Rattus norvegicus: one gene and its partner. The protein of the gene in region 1 interacts with the protein of each later gene in a pairwise test. Links are inferred from orthologs where the notes say so. Each region holds a gene or a part of one and is shown on either strand. Other genes may lie near its edges.

Region 1 (5,057 bases):
CTACTGCTAAGACATCCAGTGAAACTGGGCTGGTGCTCAAATCACTCCGGCACGGCCTCTCTGTGTCCCACAACGCTGGAGTGTCTGTCACCTTCTTCTCTCAGAACTGCCCCTCCCAGGGCCACCCAGGCAGTTGGGCTCCTGGGCACTTCAGGTAACTCCTGATGTCCGTCCCCACGTGCCCCCTCCCCTGTGCCCCACAGCACCTGATATCTGAGAGCAGGATTTCCCATCCACACTACAGTGGAAGCCCCGGGGGCAGCAGTGCTGGCCATCATCACAAGATACACCCTATGGACGAAGAGACACCTGTGTGAGCAAGACCCTTTTGCCTGGGACTAGAAGAGTGAAGGAAAGGGGTAAATGCAGATCTTAATCAATCTCCTGTTCCCCTAAGCCAATGGCGGCCTCACCTCAGAGAACGGGCAGCAGCTGGAAGTCCCAGACACAGTGAGAAGACAAGAGTAGCCATCAGGACAGTGGTCACGGATCTGGCAGGAGCCATCTAGACGACGGCTCGTTATTATAGGCCATGTGTCCTGGAAAGAAGAGATGACATCAATCAAAGGATCTGTGCCAGTCCTCTGGCCAATCTGAGGTAGACAGTCCTTCAGAAAGCCCAGGCTGCCAACTGGGGCATGAGACACTCACCAGAAGAGGGTTACAGCAGCTGTAGTTGGCTCCTCCCTGGTCAAGGCAGCAGGCAACAGGGCAGAATTGACCATCTGGGCACTGTGTTCCAGCCACCAGCCTTGCCACTAAGGCCAGCCAGCTCACCAGGATCCACATGGTCTGCCTGCAAATGCCAAGCAAAGTCTGGCAGCCATCTTGAAGCCTGTGCCACCTTCTACTCCAAGGCTGTGCATTCCCCTGTGCTCAGGCCAAGGCCTTGGGTTTATTGAGCATTCTCAACGGGAAAGCAGGCAGATGTGTCGCTCGAGTCAGCGCCCTACCCGTGCACGGCACTCGTGTGTCAGCTTGCACTCACTGTGAGCATGAATGTTGGCAGGAACACCAGTGTCGATTCATATGGCCTAACGCCTGAGAGTCTGAGTGCGTGGAGAGGAGGGGAGGGGGTTATGACAGTCGGGAAGGCATGTGGCTTTTGTGGCTTTGATTTATGGAACTGAGGACTAATTGGGAGGCAGAAGAGACTTTAGCAGCCATAAGAGGAAGCCAGCCCCACACCATCCCGCCCGCCTAACTCCACCCCGGCCTGGTACCAAACTGTCTGCCACCTGTAGCTTTCAAAGGCCTTGGGGGACAGAGTCATCAGTCACATGATCATATGGGAAACCTAGCGGTGGAGAAAGTTGTAAAAACAGAAGTACTGTGGCCAGTGGGGTCTGGGCTGGCTTCCCTATGGGCCAGCCACTGCCTACCCACAACTGTCCCCACCCCACTCAAGGGAAGGGGACACAGAGGCTAGGTCAGCCTCAAAGCTAACTTCATGATGAGGCCTTCCGGACATCACCAGGGTCCTTTTGGACTCCTCAAACAGACTGCCTCTGTCTCTCCCTGATCAGAAATCGAAACTCAGCTGCAAGTGGGAAGAACCAGTGGACCTCTTCACTGACTCTCTGCCTCAGCAGGAGGAACTGAACCTCTCACTTCCCTATAAGCCTTTTCCCAGCTCAGATGGTCTACCCAGCAACCCAGAAAGATGTTATTCTGCCTAGAGCAGCAAACCCAGTAATATTCAAAGACCCTCCAGGGAGCCATTTTCCCCTCTCACTGTATTTCTCAGCAATCTATGAAAAGCAATAATTAAAATATTACTTTCACTTTTCAAATCCATGCCTAAGGATCAAGCCAGGGGGGAAAAGACAGGGTATTAGACTGGGTTCATATGCCAACCGTTGTCTCTGGTCATTGCCAGGGAAGGACCCTGATTCCCAGAGGCCAGAGGTGCAGAGGGATGGGGCAGAAGATTTCTTGGCAGGTGACCCAAGCAGGATAGAAGCAGGGTGGGTACAGGGACTTCGTTGAAGCTGCAGTTGGGTTTTAGTCCTGGAAGTAACACTCTAATCTATGACTGAGGGCCTCAGAAATTGTTCCTTCCCTGTGTCTCAAGTCTTCAATCTCTGCCTGGACACTGGTGGCTACAAAAGGCAGGAAATGCCACCCACGCATGGCAGGCATGCTTTTGATCCCAGCATTTGAGAGGCTGAGGTAGGAGGGTTGCAAGTGCCAGGCCAACTTGGGCTACAAGGTGAATCCGAGGGCAGCCTGGGCTACAAGGTGAATCCCAGGCCAGCCTAGGCTACATAGAAGGATCTGTCGTCTCCCCCAACCCCCTCTCTTTCCTTTTTTAGGTCCTTCCAAGTGCTCTTTAACCTAACCCCCACCCACATAAAAAAAAAAATCCCAGAGGCCATTTCCTAACCAGGAAGGGGTAAGGGAGACCCAATTCCTCTCAATAGGACTGGGGAGTGGTGAGCCCCTGACCACCTCTACATTACACAGCCAGGGAGAACCGGAGCCTTTCAAAGCCCTAGCTCCGGCATCTTCCACTAGGTGGCACCCCCCATCTCCGAGTGTCAAGGGGAGATGAATTTCCGAAAAGGTGAGCCAATCCTAATGAGAAGGAGCAGGGAAAAGTGGCGGGGAGAGGCAGGCGGAAGTTAGCTCTCTCGCCCCCAAGAAAGGAAATACAACTGACACAACCCAGGGATTCAGCCATCAGGCCCGGGTCCTGCCCCCAACCCTTCTGAGCTCTGGGGACCAAGGGCGGGAGACTCCCCACCCACTGCACGCCGCCGCGGAGACCACTTGCAGCATCAGAAAGAGAAAGAGCCGGGACCTGGAGACAGGTGGCAGGTACAGACAGAGGAGCTGGCCCAAGAGTGGGGTGGTTCCTGCCCTGGAGAAAGGCCTGCAGCTTTCCAACATGCTGGGCAAGAGGAGCCTCTTACTGGGGGTATCTACGACAACCGCTCGTCCCCCCCCCCAAAAAAAAAAAGAAAAGAAAAAAAAACCTCGTTAGTGCATCAGAAACCCCTAGAGGAGTTTCAAGAGGCAGGTCTTCTCTTGTCTCTGAGCTGAGACTCCAGAGGACCCTCAATTGCACAGCAGCCTGGTCAGGCCTCTGGACAGTAGCGGGGGAGATATCTGCAAAGGATCCTCCTACCTGCGTCGGGGTCCGCGCTCCCTGGGAGGCATCTGGCGGTCAGCTCCAGGACTAGGGCTTGGCCGCGCGATGGCCCGCCCACCTCAATTTCCATTAGCCATGGCTCAGAGATCCAGGGCTTTCATTGGTTACTTGTCTACGTAGAGGCGGGACTCTCCAGGAATGCTGTGTTTCTTTTTCTACTCATTTCACATTCCTCCTCCCTTTCCTCTGTCTCCCCACACCCCATTTCTAGGGATCATGTGATTAGAGAATCATATGACAGCATAGCCCGCCTCCCCCAGGGCAGCTCTAGCTTGTTTGGTTGCATTTAACCCCGGGTTCTGGCGGCGCCCGGCAGGGTGTTGTGAGACCAGACACCGCTTGCCTAAGGCCACCAACAGTTAAGAGAGCTGCCCTGAGGGCACACGTTCAAGGTCGTTTACTGGAGAGTGTCTGCTTCTGGATCGCGACTTTTGTACATTCTCTGCCTTTTCACGCCTGGCAGCCAGGACTCGAAAGAAGTTGAAAGATGGTTGTGAGGGTGAGGATAAATAGTCCCCTGGTTTGAACGGGGAGAGTGGCTTAGACTAAATCTAATAAAAGTTCAAAAGCGAGCACCAGTCACTATAGATGTGTGCAGAGAGAAGACAGGAGATTAGCTCAAGGTTAGGGAAGAAGAGATTAAAATCCTGCTTGATAGTGCAGCATTAAGTTGAATCTGAAAGAACTTTAAGAGGTTGATTCGAGGGGTTGGGGATTTAGCTCAGTTGTAGAGCACTTGCCTAGCAAGTGCAAGGCCCTGGGTTCGGTCCCCAGCTCCGAAAAAAAGAGGTTGATTCGGCGGGACCGAGGAACTTGAAACTAGATAGGAAAGACAGCCTCTAGTAAGGATTGAAAGCCACGTTCAAGATAAGGGCCTTTGGACTCGCACTAAGTGTGGGGCGTGGGCTTGTGGAGCAGGCTGGTGACTGTGGAGATCAAGGGGTTTCCTTGTTTCAGCTGTCCCCACCTTCGAGGAATTGTTATGGTGGGAGAATAGAGAAATTTTAAGCTGTAGAACAGATTAGCCAGAAACAAGAGCCAGGCTGCTGAGTGCCAAAGGGCCTGGCCAGACAGAGACGGTGATTGGAGAAGGGCCAAGAAGACAGACTCTAAGAAAGGCCAAGGCTGGGCCTTGGAGAAAAGACTGTGTTTGCTTTCAAGGTGGAAGCTAGGTTACCCCACTCCTACCCCTAGAAGCAGAAACCTTTACTGGGAGGCCAGTCAGGATCACGGGGTCAGCCACACAATTCAGGACAGTGGGAGTTCTGCACCGAGAGGAGTGCGGGCTTGTGGAATTCCATGAGGGCTTCTTACACTGGAGCTCCAGGAGTCTCGGAAAGTGTGTAAGACTGGAGCAGAGAATCTAACATAATTCGGTACCCTGACGATGTTAGCGTAGGTGTTCCATGACATTCGTATAGGTATCCCCAAAACAGACCACGGCTTAGGCTTCTAGTGAGACACAGCCATGATGTGGAGGTTGAGGAAGGGAGGTTGCTTAACCCCAGGAGTTGGAAACCAACCTCAGCGACATTGCAGCTCTCCCTCTGAGTCAGGGTTTCCTGTGTTCCGGACTTCAACTTGATAAGTGGCTGAGAATGACCCAGAACTTCTTGTTTTCTGCTCCCACCACGCAAGCGCCACAATTGCAAGGGCAGATAGCCATGTTTAGTTTATGCCGTGCTGGGATTAGACCCAGGGCCTTGTTCACACTGAGCAAGTGCTACCCACTGAGCTACATCCCAGACAGGGCACTTCCTCAAGAGAAAAATAAAAAAGAATGGGGGAGGGGCAGGAAGCTCAGCAGGTAGTCACTTATCAACCAACGTGATCTCTTTGACTGACATGGTTTTAAAAGGAGAGAGACAGACAGACAGAAATGGCTCCCAGAAGCCATCCTCTG
Region 2 (4,824 bases), on another chromosome or scaffold:
CACACTGGAGCCCAGGTGTTTCATACATAGATCTGCAGGGTGCTTCTGAGACCAGCACTGTGCATGTAACAGATGTGGGCTGAGGAGCTGACAGTGAGGATGTTCGCAGTCTGCCCAACAGGTATATTCTCCCAGAAAATGGAGATCTTAGCAATGATTTTCAGGTCTCTAGCCAACATTATAAAGGAATTATCACCACATCACAGCTGCTGACTGTCTGGTTTCCTGTGCATTTCTACAACACAGTGCTTTGGTGGAAAAGAATTATGTTTCTATTAGATGATCAAAAAAAAAAAAATAGCAGAAGAAGATAGAGATGAGAATTTTTACAACCAGAACAGTCAATAGAAACCAGTCAGCATGAGTGTTGGTCCCCAGGGCTGGTGTTTGCTCTTTCTTGAATCCCACCAGGTCTTACTGCTTTATCTCCCTAACCTTTAGGGAGTAAAGTCCAGAAGGACAGAGTGCACCCACAGGCCTCTCCCACTCCTACCCCCAAGAGACTTCTATGACTTCGCAGACCCCACTGCAGAAGCCTGAGCCTGCCTAGCAGAAGTCTCCAGTGCTTTGTGCTCTCCTGGAAGGAGGAAACGGAGGACCATTTCTCTCTTTAATATCATTTCAGGAGGAGGGAAAAATCCCTGAGCCACAAGGCATCGATTCAGAGAACCTATTTTGTTTACTTGCCTCAAAGCCCACACGAAGCACAGTCCTCATCCAGCCAATGGCTTTCCATGTTCCCACCACTGGACAGCATTTCTTCTGGGGTTTCTTCCTCTCCCAGGTCAATCCCAAAAAAGGAAAATGGCGGTTGCAGCAGGGCATGTGAGCCAGGTGAAGAAAGACACTTTCAATCTGAAGTTAAAGTGTCATTTAAACTTGTGTGATCTGTTTTTATAAGCAAGGCTCTCCTGGGCTACACTTGGATGATGATGCAAAAATAATTCCAGAAAGTGGGGGTTTGGGGATTAGGAAAAGAAGTTCAACTGAAGGACTTTCATTTACATTTCAAAGGTGCCTTGGCCTCTGGAGGATGTTTGTGCTCTGGGGCTGACTGAGGTGGCCCTGTACCATCCTCTTCCTCCTATTGGAAGACCTGTAAAGTCTGGTGGGGAATCAAAGGCCCTTGGCACACCAGTGCCACTTTCCAAGTGGCATTTCAGAGGCAGGCAACCTAGGAGACAGCCAGGCCACCGGGCAGGAAGGTTCCTTGTGTCCATGATGTATCTATATCATGAGTAGCGTGTATTATACACTGGGTAAGAAATCACAACCTACATATTACAGGACTAGTTTGAAACTCTGCCTGCCACTCAGTTCATTTAGCTGTTCTTGGGCTGATGCCAGGGCAAGCCATGCCTCGGAGGAACAGACAGCCAGTAAGCATGGCCTCCAGGGACCAGGACTCTGCGGTTCAAGAGACAGGCACGGTTGGTGGTCCTGTCTGCCTCTCCGGGAGGTGGTGGTGGGGGCACAGCCCTCCTCCCTCTGCAGCCTGCAGTTGGTCCAGATGGGAAGGACACTTCTGGGGATAACCTGGAGACTCCTCTGTCCCTGAAGGCTATCTGCTGGCACGATGTGCAGGGCAGGCGGATGCGCGGCGGGGCGGGGAGCGTGGCGCGGCCAGGGCGCTTGGCCCCTCCTGGCTGGAGCTGCGCGCACGGCCGCCTGGCGCCCTTCCAGCGCGGCGCACTCACGCGGGCGGCCGAGGAGGAGGCTCCAGCCTGACTGACGCCTCTGGAGCCGCTGTCTCGGTCCCGCCGCCGCCCGGCCGGCCCTGCAGCTACCCGCACAACCGGAGTGCGCGGGGGCACGCGTGGCACTGCGCGGACAGGTAAGCGCTGCCATGCCGCGGGCGTGGGCACTCGGGAAGCCCCTGTGGTCCTCGGGCGTGGGGCTTGGCTCTCCATGGAGCCTGGGTGGTGTCTGTAGTGTGCGAGGGCTCCGCGGCATCCTGGCACCTGGAACACATTGCAGGACGCGTGGCCCGAGGCGTGGGCAGGGATGTGGGATGCGCGTGGGCAGAGTGCAGAAGTGCAGAAGTGTCCTGCACCTAGAGACAGTCACCCTGGAGCTCAGCTCTGGGAAGTAGCCCTTTGCTGGGGAGAGTGACAGGAGAGAGGCTAGTGTGCGTAAGGTAGTCATTGTGACTCTGGGGGAGATTTTAAAACTCCAGGGCACCCTTGGCTACGAAGGCTTATTTCATATTCCTGTAATTTTTTTTCTTCTCTGCTTACCTTTGAGGCACACACAGTGAGAAAGAGAGGGAAAAAGTTAGGAATGTTAAGTGTCTGTAGCTAGCACTTGGGTTGTGTTTGTCTTCTCCTGGGCCTACCATTGGGTGCCAGCGCTGCGCAGACGGGAGGGGGGCGAGGTGGGGACAGATGCAGGCGACTGACTGACGCCGGCCTTGTGGGAGGAGGAGTGTGGGGAACCTTCTTATGGGTGGCTAATCGCTGCACTTCTTACTCCCTCCCCTGTCCCCTCCCTTGACCATGGCAATTGAAAATGATAGTTTTGAGGTCCTCCGTTAGCATATTTCTGGGCTGGAACTGGTACTCATTGAGAAATAACCTACAAATGATGTGGATCTCTTTTTGGAAACAAATTGTATGTAATTCGGTCGAATGCACAGCCACAGAAGACTAGGAATCACTTTTCCTTTTAGGATGACCGTTCGGTGGTTTGCTGACTTTCTGTAAAAAAAATGTAATTAGCAACCAGAGTGGAGAATAACAGTAGTCTTCGGCCCTTTAAGTGATGCCTCTTCCTAGGCCATTCCCCGGGAATATTTGTGGTTGTGAAATGTGCTAGCATGCCTGTCAATGAGAGGGAATGCCTTCGGATGTTTACATGGAAGGACTATCCATCTATATGTAAAAAGGAAGTCAAAATACAGCCCGAACCCACTCTATAGCAAATGACTAGGATTCAATGCTCTGCCTTTAGAGAACATGATTCTGGATCACTTTCAAGTCTGTGGTTGGTTATTCAAGGACATCGCTGTTAAGAAACCGGGGTGGCGGTTTATAAATAAGGAACCTTTAAAATATGATAAGATTATCAAAGCGCCAAATATTTCTGAAAACATATGTGTAGTGGCAAGGTTCCTTGATGACAAGGCGGCTTCCTGCAAGCCAGCATCTGCTGAGTCTGTCCTGACACTAAGGTCCCCACTTTACTCTTCGTCAGGGTGCTCCCCTCTCCTCCCCTTGCCCCCTACCTCCAGCCAGTTTGAGCTATGCTTTGGAGAATGCTTGCACAGTCTGGATCCAGCCAGCTCACTTAACCAGTAGCATTTTCTGAAAATCAGAGACAAATTAAAGTTAACCTCAAGCACTTGACAAGTCTTTTAAAGTCAGCGAGAGACACTTGGTGTTTTCTTTATTAAATAATTTTTTTTCCTTTTACTGACATATTCCCCAGTTAATGAGCAAATCAGAAAATATTCACCAGTATCCAAGCTACTGCATCTCTGATAACCTAAGACAGAGGAAGGAAAAAGAAACATTTCCATTATAGGAAACTTCGTCACAGTTATCTAAGCACTGCAGAAATGGTAAATTTTGTGTATCTTTTCTGATCATGTGGTCAAATTGGAGGAGAGAAAAAAAAACCCCAAGAAACTATTCTTTCATATCCATGAAAGAATTTAATATCAGCTTTACAAATAATGGAGCTCTGATGGACAGGAGTGCAATGTGTTTTGCCAAGCTGGAGAGAGATGGATGGTCACTGCCTGCCGCATTAAGGCAGCTGATTACATCTGACCTTCCCTCCCTCTCTAGTACAAGAACACAGTCTCATCATCATGCTCCTATATGATCTAAATCATACTTACCCAGGGGTATGCTCCAGTGGTGGGAAGCTCAGGGCTATGATAGAAACATTCCTGTTTTATTTTTTGAAACATGGCATTAAATCCTAATGTTTTAACAGAGCTTAGTGTGGACTTCTGTTTATTCTTGTGCGGACCGAGGAATTCAGAAACGGCTGTATCCAGAATAAACCAGTAAACTGGGTGGAGGTTGAAAGTGCGGATCCCCTCAAATTGTTGCGATCCTCGACTGTTGGGGTGTTGGTCCCTTTGTGATTTTTGTCAGTGATTTGGAAAGTCGCCTAAGTTTTATTTTGATGCCGTGAGCAGGCAGTAGGGTGTTGTGTTAACCTGGTGAAGGTCTGTGTAAGAACAGGGACAGAGTAAAGTAAACAGATATTCCCTGGCAGTGAACTAACCTCTAAAAGCAAATACTCCTGGAAATTATGTCTGTGCCGACCCAAGTCATTAGGATTTTAAGAATAATGCCAGCATTAAATGCTATCAGGACCATGACAACTGGGTACTCATCTTGATGTGTCTTCACCCTGCTAGCAGTTGAAACCTAGATTCCCCCCTGGTCTGCCTCACACAGGGTGCCCTCTGCCAGACTTACTTTTTCATGCCTCCCATTGGGGTTTCAAGAGTGAGTTACAGTTTCCCATGCACACCAGACTTTCCTCTTATCGGCCTATTTCCCTGAACCTAGGCTCAGTCTCAGAAAGCCTCTCCCTCTGCCCTCGTCTCCCACCAGAGCCCCGTATTTGCTGGACAACTCCTCATTTTGTAGATTCTGTCCAAGTGCTACCGGCAGGATTTTCTCTGATAACCTTAGTGGGGGGGATGTCCTCCGGTGAGCCCTTTGACTCTCCTGTGTGGCTTTGCAGAACATGCTCTAACAACACTTACTCTTCCTCTCAGGTGGTCCTTAAAGGTCAGGAGGGAACTGAGCTTCCTCTGCCTTCTCCCCCTTTACTGTTGACTGCAGTGCCTGGCTCAGGACTCGG

Evidence for each region.
Region 2: the proteins of Grn (region 1) and Smad9 interact in binary tests that used the Homo sapiens proteins (3 or more experiments, as listed by UniProt). The link is inferred for Rattus norvegicus from reciprocal best matches to the Homo sapiens genes GRN and SMAD9.

Annotation. Positions count from the first base shown.
Region 1 is NC_086028.1:87,885,956-87,891,012, reverse strand, and holds the start of Grn (progranulin isoform a precursor), read right to left. Parts: upstream 3,180-5,057; 5' UTR 3,163-3,179; coding exon 3,131-3,162; exon of another isoform or gene 2,979-3,130; intron 797-2,978; coding exon 652-796; intron 540-651; coding exon 414-539; intron 292-413; coding exon 207-291; intron 1-206. UniProt on the Homo sapiens protein: Secreted protein that acts as a key regulator of lysosomal function and as a growth factor involved in inflammation, wound healing and cell proliferation. Regulates protein trafficking to lysosomes, and also the activity of lysosomal enzymes.
Region 2 is NC_086020.1:141,104,983-141,109,806, forward strand, and holds the start of Smad9 (mothers against decapentaplegic homolog 9), read left to right. Parts: upstream 1-1,685; 5' UTR 1,686-1,834; intron 1,835-4,824. UniProt on the Homo sapiens protein: Transcriptional modulator activated by BMP (bone morphogenetic proteins) type 1 receptor kinase. SMAD9 is a receptor-regulated SMAD (R-SMAD).